Regions from separate parts of the Mus musculus genome. Here regions 1 and 3 are each reported to be linked to region 2. Evidence: microRNA targets listed by miRTarBase, many of them from high-throughput screens and not tested one by one. Region 2 holds a microRNA gene; each other region holds the end of a gene's coding sequence.

Evidence for each region. The annotated mature microRNA mmu-miR-297c-5p reads AUGUAUGUGUGCAUGUACAUGU and lies in region 2 at 2,588-2,609, shown strand. An mRNA with a match to its seed (bases 2 to 7 or 8) in the 3' UTR can be bound and repressed. Matches are read on the target gene's strand: a 7mer-m8 pairs with bases 2 to 8, a 7mer-A1 pairs with bases 2 to 7 and ends in A, and an 8mer does both.
Region 1: the mRNA of Tbc1d24 is a reported target of mmu-miR-297c-5p. Seed matches in the 3' UTR shown: 7mer-m8 at 4,119-4,125, 7mer-m8 at 4,123-4,129, 7mer-m8 at 4,127-4,133, 7mer-m8 at 4,131-4,137, 7mer-m8 at 4,135-4,141, 7mer-m8 at 4,139-4,145 and 6 more.
Region 3: miRTarBase lists Zc3h12a as a target of mmu-miR-297c-5p. Seed matches in the 3' UTR shown: 8mer at 1,430-1,437.

What each region holds. Positions count from the first base shown.
Region 1 is chr17:24,176,732-24,181,793 of GRCm38, reverse strand. Tbc1d24 (TBC1 domain family, member 24) reads left to right here. Exons shown (of 8, transcript NM_173186.4): 7 at 1-38; 8 at 399-5,062. The coding sequence ends at 553. Among named protein-coding and RNA genes, the nearest start is that of Atp6v0c, 9.8 kb to the right of the region's middle.
Region 2 is chr2:10,506,439-10,511,514 of GRCm38, forward strand. Mir297c (microRNA 297c) reads left to right here and starts at 2,578; the gene lies at 2,578-2,675. The region is part of intron 10 of Sfmbt2 (Scm-like with four mbt domains 2); the gene reads left to right. It overlaps Mir467d (microRNA 467d), which reads left to right and starts at 1,192; the gene lies at 1,192-1,276. Mir466 (microRNA 466) reads left to right here and starts at 1,480; the gene lies at 1,480-1,552. It also overlaps Mir669c and Mir669a-2.
Region 3 is chr4:125,114,842-125,119,903 of GRCm38, reverse strand. Zc3h12a (zinc finger CCCH type containing 12A) reads left to right here. Exons shown (of 6, transcript NM_153159.2): 6 at 1-1,490. The coding sequence ends at 625. Among named protein-coding and RNA genes, the nearest start is that of Zc3h12a, 11 kb to the left of the region's middle.

The sequences.
Region 1 (5,062 bases), not on the chromosome of region 2:
CATGTTCATGGCTGGAGGCAATGACTGCCTCATCATTGGTGGGCACCTGTTCCCTTCACCCCAGACTGGGTCCTGCCTGTACTCGGAGGGGACTTGTGGGTAGCTGAAGCCTCTGTGCCCAGTCCTTGTTGACTACCAGTAGTAGACATCTCAGTTAAGCAAAGGAAAAGGACCTGGGTTGTTTGGGGTAGAGATAGAAACTAAGGGCTAGCAAGCAAGCGTTAGGTAGGGAGTCAGACCTAGATAAATGTGTGCTTCTAGAGGAACCTCTGTAGTTCGAGGGATCTCTCTCCTGCGATTACTATTTAGCAGACCCTTCAAGGACAAAAACGATGGGGTATCTAGGGAAGGGTGGTTGTTGGAGCAGAAAGACATCTGTTCCCCTGCACATCCCACAGGGGGAGGAGGTGGTCAAGCACTCTACGTTGATGGGGACCTGAATCGAGGGCGCACTGGACACTGTGACACATTCAACAACCAGCCCCTCTGCTCTGAGAACTTCCTCATCGCAGCTGTGGAGGCTTGGGGCTTCCAAGACCCTGACACCGAATGACGGGCCCGCACTGATGGTGACAGCCACATTGTGGGGTGATGGGACAGAGGCCCGGCTGCCTCTTCAGGGAGCAGGGAGTGAGTGAGACGTCACCCCCAGAAAGTGGAAAGGTTTGCTGTGCAGTGGGGCTGTTAGTCTCTCACGCCAGGCCTGGCCCTGGCTTGGACTTAGGTTAGGATTCCTGAGCCCTCCTGCTTCTGAGCTCTTGAACCCTCAGCCCTGTCTAGCATCTCTGTAAGAGACACCCTCTGCCCTCACCCAGGGCCCTGGCTCTGCCAGGTGTCCTGTACCCACAATTGCCAAGGCTACATTTCCATGCCCCTGAGCCTCAGCCCCTTATAAGAAAAGGGCAAATGAATCTTCTTGCCAAATGTGGGCCCATGGTGCCCCCCTGCTGGTGCTTTGACCCTGCAGCTCCTCTGAGGTTCCCCTCAGAGGGGTACATTTGCTGCTGTAGTGTAGGGTAGGATTGGGAAGGGCAGGGTCTGTGAGTTCTGCAGCTCCCCCTAGTCTAGAGATGGAATGAGGGCTGGAGAACTGTCTTTTGTCTTTGTGTTTCTGCAGAGCCTGAAGCTCTTGCTGCGCCTCGCTGCGAGTCCACACCTGAAGGTGGCCTCCGGAGAGACTTTCTTTGACCACCTTGGCCAGTCAGCTCCATTTCCAGAGTTCTTCTCAGAGCTGACTAGACTCTGAGGCCTTTGCCTCTCATCCCTGTGGCCTCCTTGAAGTTCTGTAGTCTTGGTGACTCTTGTACTTGGTTCCTCTGTCACAGTGACTGAGGCCCACCAAGCATGGCATGCTTGTCCCCATCCAGCTTTTTGCCTTCTCCCCAGGCCCTGTGCTCCCCTGGACCCGTTCACACAGCATCTGATTCACCTGTGTGACCTGATCCCTCAGCTGGCACTGTGGCCGACCACGTACTGTATCTTCTGTGTGCTACCCCTGCCCCTATTAAGGCCTTCAGGTCTCTGGATGTCTGTGCTTCCTGAGCCCTGTGCCAGCCTGTGCACATAGGATGCCAGCCTGTGCACATAGGATGCCAGCCTGTGCACATAGGATGCCAGCCTGTACACATAGGATGCCAGCCTGTGCACATAGGATGCCAGCCTGTGCACATAGGATGCCAGCCTGTGCACATAGGATGCCAGCCTGTGCACATAGGATGCCAGCCTGTGCACATAGGATGCCAAGGGAGGTGCTGCTTCTGAGGACTCTCGCAAGCTCCTCTTCCCCGTGACCTCCCTCAGCTGGTCCTGAGGGTCTAGGCGCCACAGAGGAAGAGAGAAGAAGCAGTGGCCCAAATGGCTCTGCTGGGGCCATGGAAGTCGGGATCATAAGGACAGGCGCCTAGCTTCCACATGACTGTCTGGCGTGCTTGAGAGTCAGCATGTGTCAGGCCAGTGCTTGTCTCCACGCTGAGATTCACTTTCGCTGGGGAAGGTCCATCCTTCCCTGTTCCACCAATTCACACCAGCTCTCTGCACGGCCACAGTGGCAGAAGAGGCAGGGCAGAAAGGAGCCTCATGCATCTAGAACTCTGGATTCTGCACAGTGGACAAGTTCCCCCACCATGCTGGCTTCCAGGATGGGTTCGCGTGACTCTATAGAGTGAAGAGGAACCACTGTTGCTCACCTCTACAGAAGGTTATAAGCCTCAATGCCCACTTCCCCTGAGCCCACTGCCGAGGCCTAGACCTCCAACTCTGGTGTTCATTTAACACCATCTTGATTTTTGTTTCTGGCAAGATCTTACTAGTTAACCTAACTGGCCTGGAACTCCCTATGTAGCCCAGGCTAGCCTGGAAATTGCTATGTAGCCTAGGTTAGACTCAAAAATCATGATCTCCCTCAGCCTCCTCATTGCTGGGCTTCTAGGTGTTAGGCCCAGCTGAGCGCTTTGAGTTTGACTGCCTCCGTTCTGAGTCGGGCTCCTGCCAGAAGGCCCCCAGGACGTTCCCAGGCTGAGCTCTTGCCGCTCACCCATGCATTACCACTGAGACTCAGAAGCCTTCAGAAGCAATGACGTTAATTGGGAGTATGTGCGGGGCTCTGCAGGGTTCCAGACTGGTGGTGGACCTTGTGTTCTGTGTGGCCCCCACTGGCAGTCCCAGGGGTCTAGCCCAAGGAGACTGATGGATGCTGAGTCATGATCACATCACAAGCAAAGTTCTTAGCTTTTCTCCCACAACATACCCAGCTCTTTAAATTTAATGTCCTTTTTTTTTCTGACTTTTCTACCAAAAGGTGTGTATTGTTTTCTTTATATTTTTATTCTTATCACTGTTCTTATCTGATACTACTAAGTGTTCTCACTTAGTATTTATTTTATTAATGTTTTCTATTATTTATTAGCTTTTGATGTTAAAAAAAAACCAAGCCAAAATGTGATGGCATTGTATAAGAAGTTATATTTTAGCAGCATTCAAACATTTGTTTTTAAAACAAATACTTAATCCAATTTAAGCCCATTCGTTAAACTAACCAAGTTTGTTAATATATAGCATATGCCGTCGGAGCCTCAGAAGCTCAGTTTATGATTTGCTTTGGTTTAGTTTGTGACAAGAGTGTCAGTTTCATGCAGCTCAGGCTAGCCTTGAACTAACTGTGTAGCTGAAGCTGCCCTTGGATTCATCTTCCTGCTTTCATCCTCTACATATTTGCATTACAGGTGTGTGTGTGTGCCACCATGCCTGGTGATAATCAGCTCATTTTTAAAGTAATTTATGATACAACACTAGGTGTTGGCATTTTAAGAATATATATATATGTATGCATATATGTATACATATGATATGTATATATATATGTATGCATATATGTATACATATGATATATATACATATATACATATACATATATATATATATTGGTTTTTGGTTTTCAAGACAGGGTTTCTCTGTGTAGCTCTGGCTATCCTGGAACAGAATCTATAGACTAGGCTGGCCTCTGACTCACAGATGCATCTGCCTCCTGAGTGCTGGGATTAAAGGTATGTGCCACCACCGTCCATCCTAATTTCTCTATTATTAAACTAAAATTACTATTTAATTTTTCCTATTTTTTATAAGCTGTCTGCTTTTATTTTCCAGTTTTTCAGTGCAGTTTGTTTTAGAGCATTCTGGATTTCAGATCTTTAAATGTCCTTTACCCATTTTCTGAGTTCGTAGAGGTTTTCTGATCTCTTTAAATATTTTATATTTGACAATTTAGGTTTTGTGCCCCCTCCCTTTGAGATGCTGAGGATTGAACCTAAGACCTTATACATTCTAGGCAAGTTCTCTACCACTGAGCCATGCCCTCAGCCCTACATTTATATATTGAACTGATTTTCAGTTTACATCAGAATTGCTGAGATGGAATTTATAGACTCTCATCCACTTGTCTACTATAAACATCAAAAAACAATTGGCCTAGTGGCAGACTCTTAATCCCATTATTCAGAAGGTAGAGGTAGGGGGATCTCAGAGAGTTTGAGGCCATCCTGTTCTATGTAACAGGTTCCAGACCAGCCAGGGCTACATAATAAGACCTTGTCTTAAAAATATATATGTATATGTGTATATACACATACATACATACATACATACATACATACATACATACATACATACATACATGGGCTGGGGATAAAGAGAAGGCTCAGTAATTAGAGCACTGGGCCTTCCAGGGTACCCAAGTTCAGTTTTCAGTATCTATATGATGGCTTACAACTATCTATAACTCAGTTCCTAGGGATCTAAGCCCTTTCTTGGCTTCTGTAGGCACTGTGCCAATGTAGAACACAGACACAGTCAAAACACTCATAAACATAAAATAAAAATGAAGGGAAAGATAAAACAGACATTATTGTGGTGCAGTGCCCCTGACTGTACAGGAATACATGCAGTTTTACAGAGACCTGCTCTCTCATATCTTCACTAAATCTAGAAAGTTACAGATTGTACTAGTTGTTTTGTTTTTAAGTCACTATTGAGGTTGAAGTTCTGTAGCAACTACCTCAGAGAGGGCTAGCTCCTCCATAGCTCTATTCAGGTCTGTGTGACAAAGTTGTTATGTCAAGCATGAGTGCCAAACAGGCTTTACACTTCTTTCCCCACAGTATTTCCATCAGGCTGGAAAGCATATGAAGTGTAAAGGATAATTTTGGTATTAAGATTCGTATCTGGGCCTGGTGTGTGTCTATAATCCCAGCACATGGACGGTAGAGGCAGAAATGTCAAATCATCTTTAGCAACAGAACAAGTTCAAGCTAGCTATGGCTACAAGAGACCTGTCTCAATAAACAAACAAACAGACAAATAAATGGAGTCTTTTATGACTTCCCTTGTTACATCAATCTTTGATTGTGCTGTAGGTGTTAGATGCAGTGTCTCATGGCTACGTTGTTACAGACAAATGATACTTGTTTGAAGGCTTGGTCATTTATTGATCTGCATGGAAATTGTGAATACTGTATGTAGGACTAAGGAAGCAGCCAGTGGACACATGGATAGGCTAATCTGTGACATG
Region 2 (5,076 bases):
TACTGAATAGGGAGAGGTCTCACTCAGCAGGTGAAATCCCTTGCCAGAGTCAGGTGGATCAGGAGTTCAAATTTGTGCTGAATTTCATGATGAGTTGGAAATCAGCACGGGATTCATGTGATGCCCACCAAGAATGTGCATGTGTGTATAGTTGTGTGCATATTCATTTCTCTATATGAATATGCATATGCACACATGCACACACATTCATAGGAATGGCCAGAGTTATTTCTTAGGTAGGAGGTGAATAATCTTGCTAGAGTCAGGAGAATATGGTGTTCAAGTTTATGTTTAACTTCATGATGCATTAGAGATCAGCATGTGTTTCATTGATGCACACCAAAATGTGCATGTGTGTGTAGTTGTGTGCATATTCACTTCTCTATGTGAATATGCATATACACACATGCAGACACAGGAATGGCACTCATATATCCTTTGGAATGGTATGTGACTCAGAGCTTTAGAGCTTATGCAGTGCTGGGCCAGAGCTATGTCTCAGTTAGGAGGTGGATGCTCTTGCCAGCGTCAGGAGGTCCCAGAGTTCAAATTCATGTTTAACTTCCTGATGAGTTACAGATCAGCCTGTTATTCATGTGATTGTTTCTGTGTATGTGTATAGATAAGTTTGTCTGTACATGCGGATATATGAAAAGACATATATTGACACATATTCACACATGCATGCATACAGAAACACATGGCAGTCATCCATAAGTTTTATATGTGCTTAGAATTTCATAGAGTGTATATTTATGGTACAGTGAAATATCTCGCCAACTAGATGAAAACCGCTTGCCAGAATCAGAAGTCTTGGAGTTCAGAATCATGCTTAACTTAATGATCAGTTAGTGATCATCCTGGATTCGTGTGATGGACCCTAGGTATGTACATGCACACATAATTTTGTGTGCATGTACATGTGTGTATATGATTATACATAACACACACACACACACACACACGTATAAAAGCAAGCACACACACACCAAGGTATGGCATTCATCGATCCATTTGAATGATATATGTCTTAGAATGTTACTGATTATGCAGTAGAAGGACAGTGAATGGTCTCACTCACAAGGTGTAAACAATTGGCATTGTCAGGAGGATCAGGAGTTCAATTTCATGCTTAACTTCATGAGCAGTTAGAGATCATCCTGGAATAATGTGATGGCCCCTATGTATGTGCCTGTGTGCATAAGTGCGCGCATGTATATGCGTGTATATTTTATGCATATACATACACACACCTACACACACATGCACACAGACATGCGGGAATGGCCCTCACGGATCCATTTGAATGATATGTGACCTACTGCTTTGGAGGTTATGTATGACTGGGCCAGGGTGAGGTCTCACAAACCACGGGAAAACCCTTGGTAGAGTCGGGAAGATCAGGAGTGCAAGTTCATGGTAAAGGCATGATGAGTTAGAGGTCATCCTGGCATTCATGTGATTGCCCCTATGTATGTGTATATGTGTTTATGTGTGTGTACATGTACATATGTGAATATGATATCCATATACATACACGCACACATAAGACACATATGAGCACACAGGCACACAGGAATGGCACTCACTCATTGATCTATGTGACTGTGAGCTTTGGAGATTATGTGTGACTAGGTCAGGGAGAGTTATCACCCATCATGTTAAAAATGCTTGTTAGAATCAGGAGGTCAGGAGTTCAAATTCATGCTTTATTTCATGATGACTTAGAGATCTGCCTGGGAATCATGTGATGTCCCCATGTATGTGTATATGTGTGTAACTGTGTGTGGATTGTGTATATGAATATACATACCTACACACACATAGACCCATCCACAGACACAGACACACACACGCATGCCACTCCTCAGTCCATTTGAATGATATGTGACTTAGAGTTTTAGAGATTCTGCAGTACTCAATAGGGAGAGGTCTCACACCACAGAGTCAGGTGGATCAAGAGTTCAAATTCATGTTTAACTTCATGATGAGTTAGAGATCAGCATGCTATTCATGTGATGACCATAAAGAATGTGCATGTGTGTATAGCTTTGTGCACATACACTTCTCTATATGAATATGCATATACACGCATGCACACACACTCACTCACAGGAATGGCCAGAGCTATGTCTCAGTTAACTTACCAGGTAAAACGCTTGCCTTTTGGATCAGCAGTTCAAATTCCTGAATAACTTCAAAATGACCTAGGGATCAGCCTGGCCTCATGGCATCCTCCCCCCATATATGTGCATGTGTGTATAGTTTTGTGTATATGTACATGTGTGTATACAAATATACATCTACATACAGACAAACATAAACACACAGGCACGCACACACACACACACACACACGCGCACACACACAGAGGAATGTCACTCATTGATCCTTTTGAATGACAGGTGACTCAGAGCTTTAGAGATTATGCAGGGCTGGGCCAGTGAGTGCTCTCACTCACAAGGTGAAAATGCTTGCTTGCCAGACTTTGGATGACCAGGAATCAAAATTCATGCTGAACTTCATGATGAGTTCGTGATCAGCTTCGGAGTCTTGTGATGACCCTAGTATATATGCCTGTGTGTATATGTATGTGTGCATGTACATGTGTGTATATGAATATACATATACATACACACATACCCATACAAACATGCATACAAACACACAAAAATTGGCACTCATCCATCTATTTGAATAATTAGTGACTTAGAGTCTTAGAGATTCTGTATGACTGGGGCTGACAGAGAGAGGTCTCAGTCACCAGGAGAAGACTTGCTAGATTCAGGGTGATCAGGAGTGCACATTCATGTTAACGGCATGATGAGTTAGAGATCAGCCTGGCATTCATGTGATGCCTCCATGTATGTGCATGTGTGTATAGTTGTGTGTGGATGTGTGTATTTGCATATAAATAACATACACACACACACACAAGTAAACACAAGTGCACAAACAGACACAGGAATGCCATTCATCGATCCATTGGAATGATAAGTGATTTAGAGTTTTAGAGATTTTGAAGTAGAGACGGTGAATTGTCTCACTCACCAGTTGTAAACGATTGAAAGAGTCAAGAGGATCTGGAGTTCCAATTCACTCCTATGTTCAGCTAGATAGCATCCTGGTATTCATGTGATATCGCCCATGTGTGTGCATGTGAGTATAGTTGTGTGTGCATGTCTGTATTTGAATATACATAACATACACACACTAATGCAAGTACACACACACACACACACACACACACACACTCACACCAATGCCACTCATCAATCCATTGGAATGATGTGTCACTTAGAGTATTAGAGATTATGCAGTACTTGGCCAGTGAGTGCTCTCAGTCTCTAGGTGAAAATGCTTGCTAGAGTTAAGAGTATTCAGGAGTTAAAACACATACTGACCTTCATGAGGATTTAGAGATCAGCCTGTGATTCATGTGATGGCCCCATGATTGTGCATGTGTATATAGTTGTGTGTGCATGTTCATGCATGTATTTGCATATACATAACATACACGTATAAACGCAAGCACACACACATAGAGACACAAGAATGGCTTTCATCGATCCCTTTGAATGATATGTCACTTAGCATATTAGAGATTATGCAGTACTTGGCCAGTGAGTGCTCTTATTCTCTAGGTGAAAATGCTTGCTAGAGTTAAGAGTATCAGGAGTTTAAATTCATGCTTATCCTCATGAGAGATCAGCCTGAGATTCCTCCATGTATGTGCATGTGTGTATAGTTGTGTGTGCATGTTCATGTCTATATTTGAATATACATAACATACACACACACGTATAAACGCAAGCACACACACAGACACAGGAATGGCATTCATTGACCCATTTAAATGATATGCCACTCAGAGTAGTAGAGATTATTCAGTATGGGGCAAGTGAGTGCTCTCATTCTCTAGGTGAAAATGCTTACTATAGTTAGGAGTATCAGAAGTTCAAATTTATGCTTATCTTCAGCATGATTTAGAGATAAGCCTGTGATTCATGTGATGCCTTAAGTGTACATGCAGGTTTGTATAGTTGTGTGTGTATGTTCATGTGTCTATATGGATATACATAACATATACATAGACATATAAACCCTAGCGTGCACACACACACACACACACACACACACACACACACACACACACACACGAATAACATTCATAGATCCATTTATATGATATGCCACCTAGAATATTAGAAATTATTCAGTACTGGGCCAGTGAGTGCTGTCATTTTCTAGGTAAAAATGCTTGCTAGAATCAGGAGTATCAGGAGTTCAAATTCATGCTTATCTTCAGGAGGATATAGATATCTGCCTGTGATTCATGTGATTGCCACCCATGTATGTGCATGGGTGTATAGTTTTGTGTACATGTGCATGTGTGTATATGAATAGACATAACATGCACATACATATAAACACAAGCACACACACACACAGAGACACAGGAATGACACTCATCGATCCATCTGAATGATAGGTGACTTAGAGTTTTAGAGATTATGCAGTAGTGGGACAGTGAATGGTCTCAATCACCAGGTGTAAACCACAGAGTCAGGAGGATCAGGAGTTCAAATCCATGCTTAATTTCAGTTGGAGATCATCCTGGTATTTCTGTGATGCTACCCATGTATGTGCATGTGTGCTTACTTGTATGTGCATGTGCATGTGTTGATATGAATATACATAACATAAACACACGTGTATATGCAGGCACACACACACAGAAGAAATTGCATTCGTCGTTACGTTTGAATGATATATGACTTAGAGCTTTAAGAGTATGTATTACTGGGCCAATGAAACGTCTTACTTACCAGTAAAAATGTTTGTTATATTCAGATGGATCAGGGGTCCAAATTCATGAGTAATTTCAAAATGACATAGAGATCAGCCTGACTTCACGGGGTTCCCCCCAATGTATGTTTATGTGTGTATAGTTTATGTGCATGTGCATGTGTGCATATGCATATACATATACATCCATACAAACATATAGAAGTAGCACAGATACACAGACACACACACACACACCCATCAATCATTTTGAATGACAGGTGACTT
Region 3 (5,062 bases), not on the chromosome of region 2:
CCACCGAGAAGGCTCACCGCAGACCTGTGCTCCAGCTGGCAGGAGCCTCCCTGTTAGTGGGGGCAGCTTTGGGCCCACAGAGTGGCTTGCACACACCCAGGACTCACTCCCATACACCTCCCAGGAGTGCCTTGATTCAGGCATTGGTTCCCTGGAGAGCCAGATGTCAGAATTATGGGGCGTGCGAGGAGGCAGCCCTGGGGAGTCGGGCCCCACTCGGGGCCCCTATGCAGGTTATCACAGCTATGGATCCAAGGTCCCAGCAGCACCTTCCTTTTCTCCTTTTAGACCAGCCATGGGTGCTGGCCACTTCAGTGTCCCCACCGACTATGTGCCCCCGCCACCCACCTACCCATCCAGAGAGTACTGGTCTGAGCCGTACCCATTACCCCCACCCACTCCTGTCCTTCAGGAGCCCCAGAGACCCAGCCCCGGGGCTGGTGGGGGCCCCTGGGGCAGGGTGGGTGACCTGGCCAAAGAAAGGGCTGGTGTATATACCAAGCTGTGTGGTGTCTTCCCCCCACACCTGGTAGAAGCTGTAATGAGACGCTTCCCACAGCTGCTGGATCCGCAGCAGCTGGCCGCAGAGATCCTGTCTTACAAGTCCCAGCACCTCAGTGAGTAAGCCAGAAGGTGGCGCAAGGGGCTGTCGGGCATCACAGATAGCGGTCCCCAGCCCCTGCCTGGCCTACCCTGGAAGCTGGACAGAAGGACAAGTGAAGCAGGCAAGGGAATCCTCAAACCAAAGATACCATAGGATTGGTTCTGGCCCCGCGGCACCCCAACCCGTCCCGCACAGGTCAGAAGTGATCACCCTGTTGATACACATTGTATCTCTGTCATTTAAGGAGACGCTGCCGGTCAGGCCGTCCATCCGTGGCTGATGCCCAAACCCTCTTTTTTTTTTCTCAGAGGGCCGGGTGGGAGGCATGGGGGAGCAGAGGCCTGAGCTGGACCCCACCTTCCACCCTGTCCCTGGGACGCCGGCACCACCGGCTAGTTAGGCACCATGTGCCTGCTCTCTGAGGCCCCCTCAAGCCAATGCGGCCTCATCCCTGTTCACAGGGCATGAGGCTTCATGTTAGTAAGCAAGATGCTTCTTTAAGCCCCTCCCCTGCCCGCTCTGTCCACCTACACACCCCCCCCCCAACCAGGGCTCCAAGGCCCTCTGTTTCCACACCTCCCATGGGTGGGAGGACACATGTATGCTGTGTACAGAGGCGAGATTTAAATATTTTAAATGAAAAAGGTTGACAAAATAAAGGCTATTGCCAGGCAGGCTGGAGAGATGGCTCAGTGGTTAAGAGCACCGACTGCTCTTCTGAAGGTCCTGAGTTCAAATGTCAGCAACCACATGGTGGCTCACAAACATCTGTGATGAGATCTGGTGCCCTCTTCTGGGGTGTCTGAAGACAGCTACAGTGTACTTACATACAATAATAAATCTTTTAAAAAAGAGAGAAATTTAAAAGAAAAAAAAAGCTATTGCCAGTCGTTTTGAGAGGAAGTTGTCCTTACTGTGCCTGGTGGGTAGAGCTGCTCTGGGGTGACAGGAGGCCAGTAGGGCAGATGTCACTCCCTGTCCTCAGAAAGGAGGGTTCCCAGAAGCAGTTGGTCCCTTGGAGCTGAACCTTAATAGGAGGCAAGGTAGCAGGTGACAGCTGCAGGAAGAAGTGTAACGGCACAGAGCCCTGTGGCTTCAGCTGGGTAGAGGGGTGCCGGGGCGGGCGACAGCAGGGATGAAGCTGTTCCTCTTTTCTCTGATGACAAGAATTGAGGGTAGGAAACAGGGAAACGATTTGATCAGGGCCACAGAGGGCGGTGTGATCCAAGTAGGTGAGGGAGCCCTTGGGTGCTTGCACACAGGCTCCTCCTTCCAGATCTGCTGTGTGTCCAAGGAACCAGGGTTGCAGAGCTGGAGGAAGGGCTGGGGTAGTAGCAGCAGCTTGGAGACGCCCTGCCACTGACTCTACCAGCTGGAGCAAGGGACTATCCTTCCCAGACCTCAGTTTCCTCATCTATGAAATGGGAATCCTAATGGCAGCTACCTTACAGGTTTGTCATGAGGGTTCAGTGAGATAATACATGCTAGGTATGTGACCTGCCTCCTGCCGCACAGGCACTGCTCATTAGAAGGCTTCCATAACTGACTCCTGTGGGCAGGCACACAGACTGACCCCATCCACCACGTCAAACTGCTCATCAGCCCTAGACAAGCCCAGGCAAGATAACACCTTCCTCCCTCCTCCCAGCTCCAACTTCAAAGATGAACATGAATATTTTAAATGAAAGGCTAGGCTATCACACAATTCCTAAGCAAATATTACCAGCCAAGGAAAAGGGTGGGGGGAGGCGGAATTACAGCTTTAATAATCCTACCTTTGAACAATTCCTCTGATATTTGTACTTAGTAGTCGGTGTACCTTAGTGCATATTTCTGTTTTAAAAACTACTTCCGTACAGAACAGCTGTGAAGCTCTGGAAGAAAATGTCACTGTGGGAATCCTCCCCACGAGCTCCGCCCAACTTTTCCCTGACCACCCTTCCAGAAGTGCCTGCTTAGGACAAACATCAGGATCCGTTGGCATGCAGGAGCTGGAAGCTTCCCTCCCACAGGAATTAAAGGTGTCTATGCCATGCGTGTTCCTCCCGGCCTCCTCGGGAGCTGTTAGCAGCATAAGGAGAGACGGCAATGCCTTATTTATTCTTACAAAGGAACTACATTGTCCAGGGCTCTGGGAAGGCAGCCAACCATGCACTGAGTTCAATACTCAGCACCTGGTGTTGGAGCGTACACCTGCCATCCCAGCATCCCGGAAGAAGATGCAGGAGGGCCACAAGTTCAAGGCCGTCTTTGGTTACAAAGCAAGTTCCAGGCCAACTTGGCCTGCATGAGACTCTGGTCTCAAACACACGAAATAAAACACACGGACACACAAGGGCGCCAATGTATTCTCAGGTTAAACGGCCGTCTGTGGGCATCTGTTTGTCTTTATGGGATAGGAAGCTAAAATACCGGACAGTCGGGTTCATTATCAGTTGCTTGGCAATGCTGAATGACTTGCCCAAGGTCCCACGGAGGAAGGCAGGCTGGGGCAGGGCTTTCAGTACCCTTCCTGATCCCAAAACCTGACACCAGACTGTTGTGACTCAAGCCTCTGCAGAAATGGGAAGTGAGCTGCTCCTCCCACTGAAGCAAGTAGAATGCTCGCCCACTCGGCTGCTCAGTACGGCCCTGTCTGTACCATACTGTGGAGCTTTGGGGGCCATGAGATTCAGGGGCCGCTCACAAGGGGAAGTGAGAAGAACTCTTCCACTGTCCTGGCTTTCTTAGCCGGAGTTTGAAGTCATCTGTGACTGTCCTATGGGGGTGAGAAATGGGCTGACTCCACAGGCAGGCAGCAGCATGAGTGCCAGCTGGCTATGGCTAATGTTAGAAGGCAGGGCCTGGCCCTGCTGGTCCACTGAAACCAGTGAGGGCTACAGATTCAAACAATAGGTGCCAGCTAGGACCGGGCTCTGGGCTCAGGCCTTCTGATGCCTGTCTTGGTGCCCATGCTTCCTGACAGCTTGGCTCAGCTGGACTAGCCAACCACGTGGCCATGCCTCCAGGCCTCTTTCTCAATCTTGCTTCCAGGCAGGGCTACCCAAGCAGCCTGGCTCAAAGCCAAGGCTGTTTCTTCTCTGTGACTTGCTTCAGCATTAACTCCAAAGTTCTCACCACCTCTTGTCCCCTGGCCACTGAGGCCACTCAGACAGGTAGCACTGGATCACACGGGACCTTGGCCTTCCACCTGTGAAATGGGCACAAAGACACACCACCTCTCCAGACATTACAAAAGAAGACCTTAACTAGCAGCATCTAGAGGCAGTGAGGCCCCAGTTCACGCCCCACTCACTAGCAGGCAGCCCTGGCTACTCACTGCCCTTCTCTCAGGGCTTCAGCTGCCTGACCCACAGTGATCCACGTGGGAGCTTAACGGGGAGGGCGGCAGGGACAAAATGTAACTCCCAAGACCAAAGCTCGAGCCACCAGGCTTGCTGCAAGGGATCAAATTCCAAGCAGCCGCCCCAGCTGCTCCTTATGCCAGCTCTTCCTGGTTACTTGAGCCAAGCTGGGTGATGGGGAAACTGGTGTGTATGCAAATTCTCTGTTGGGAAATGATCTCTGGGAGCTGAGCTGGGCCTTCCCACCCTCCCCTCCCACTTGTACCAGCAGGTAGTGAACTCTAGGTGCTTCAGCAAGTTCTGCTCCACAAGACTAACACCTTGAGAGGGGGTGGGGGGGAACCCAGCCTGCTCAGAAGTCAAAACGACTGGTCTGCCTTTGCATGTAGCCTGAGACAGGAAAGCTTTGTATGCCCTGCCAGACTGAGCCAGCCCGTAACGGTGTGTGTGTGAAGGACCCCTGCTCTGGGTCACTCTCCACTCTGTCTCTGGGAAGACCTGGCAGTCCCTGAAGATGCTGGTACCACAAAGGACAAAATAGCCACCGTGCAAAGCCCACTTGGAGCTGCTAATGCCCTAAACTGCTGGTGTCTTTCAGTGATTAGAGTAGCCAGCTGCGGGGGCAAGGCCAGTGCCCATTTCTGCAGCTCCATTTCCTACTTCCCTTTTTTCCTACCACCAAGGTCCTCTGCCCACCTTCCCCAGGGACAGTACACACAGGTTAACCCATCTCAAGGAGGAGTGGGGTAAGGTGAGCGGACAGAACTGGGAAGAGGGTCACTGGCTAAGCTCTGCCAGAAGGAAGCCCAAGGACCCCAGAGCCTTTGTCCTAGGCTTCGATCTTCTATCACAGGCCCAAAGCAGACTGGATGGCAAGAACCTGTCCTGTGGACCTCCTAGTTCATGGGAAGGGTGTGGGAGACTTGGCTGAAAGAGGCAGGAAGTGGGGCCCTGTAATTAGGGAAGCCCGTGCCATCCTAGGCCATGGCATGTAAATCCCTCCAGTCAGTTCCTGGAGGGGGAGGAGGCCCAGTCTGTAACCGAGGGTGTGCCTTCTGAAGCTGTTTTCAAGGCAGCAGCAGCTGGTGACCCTAAACTGCTTACCCGTTTAAGG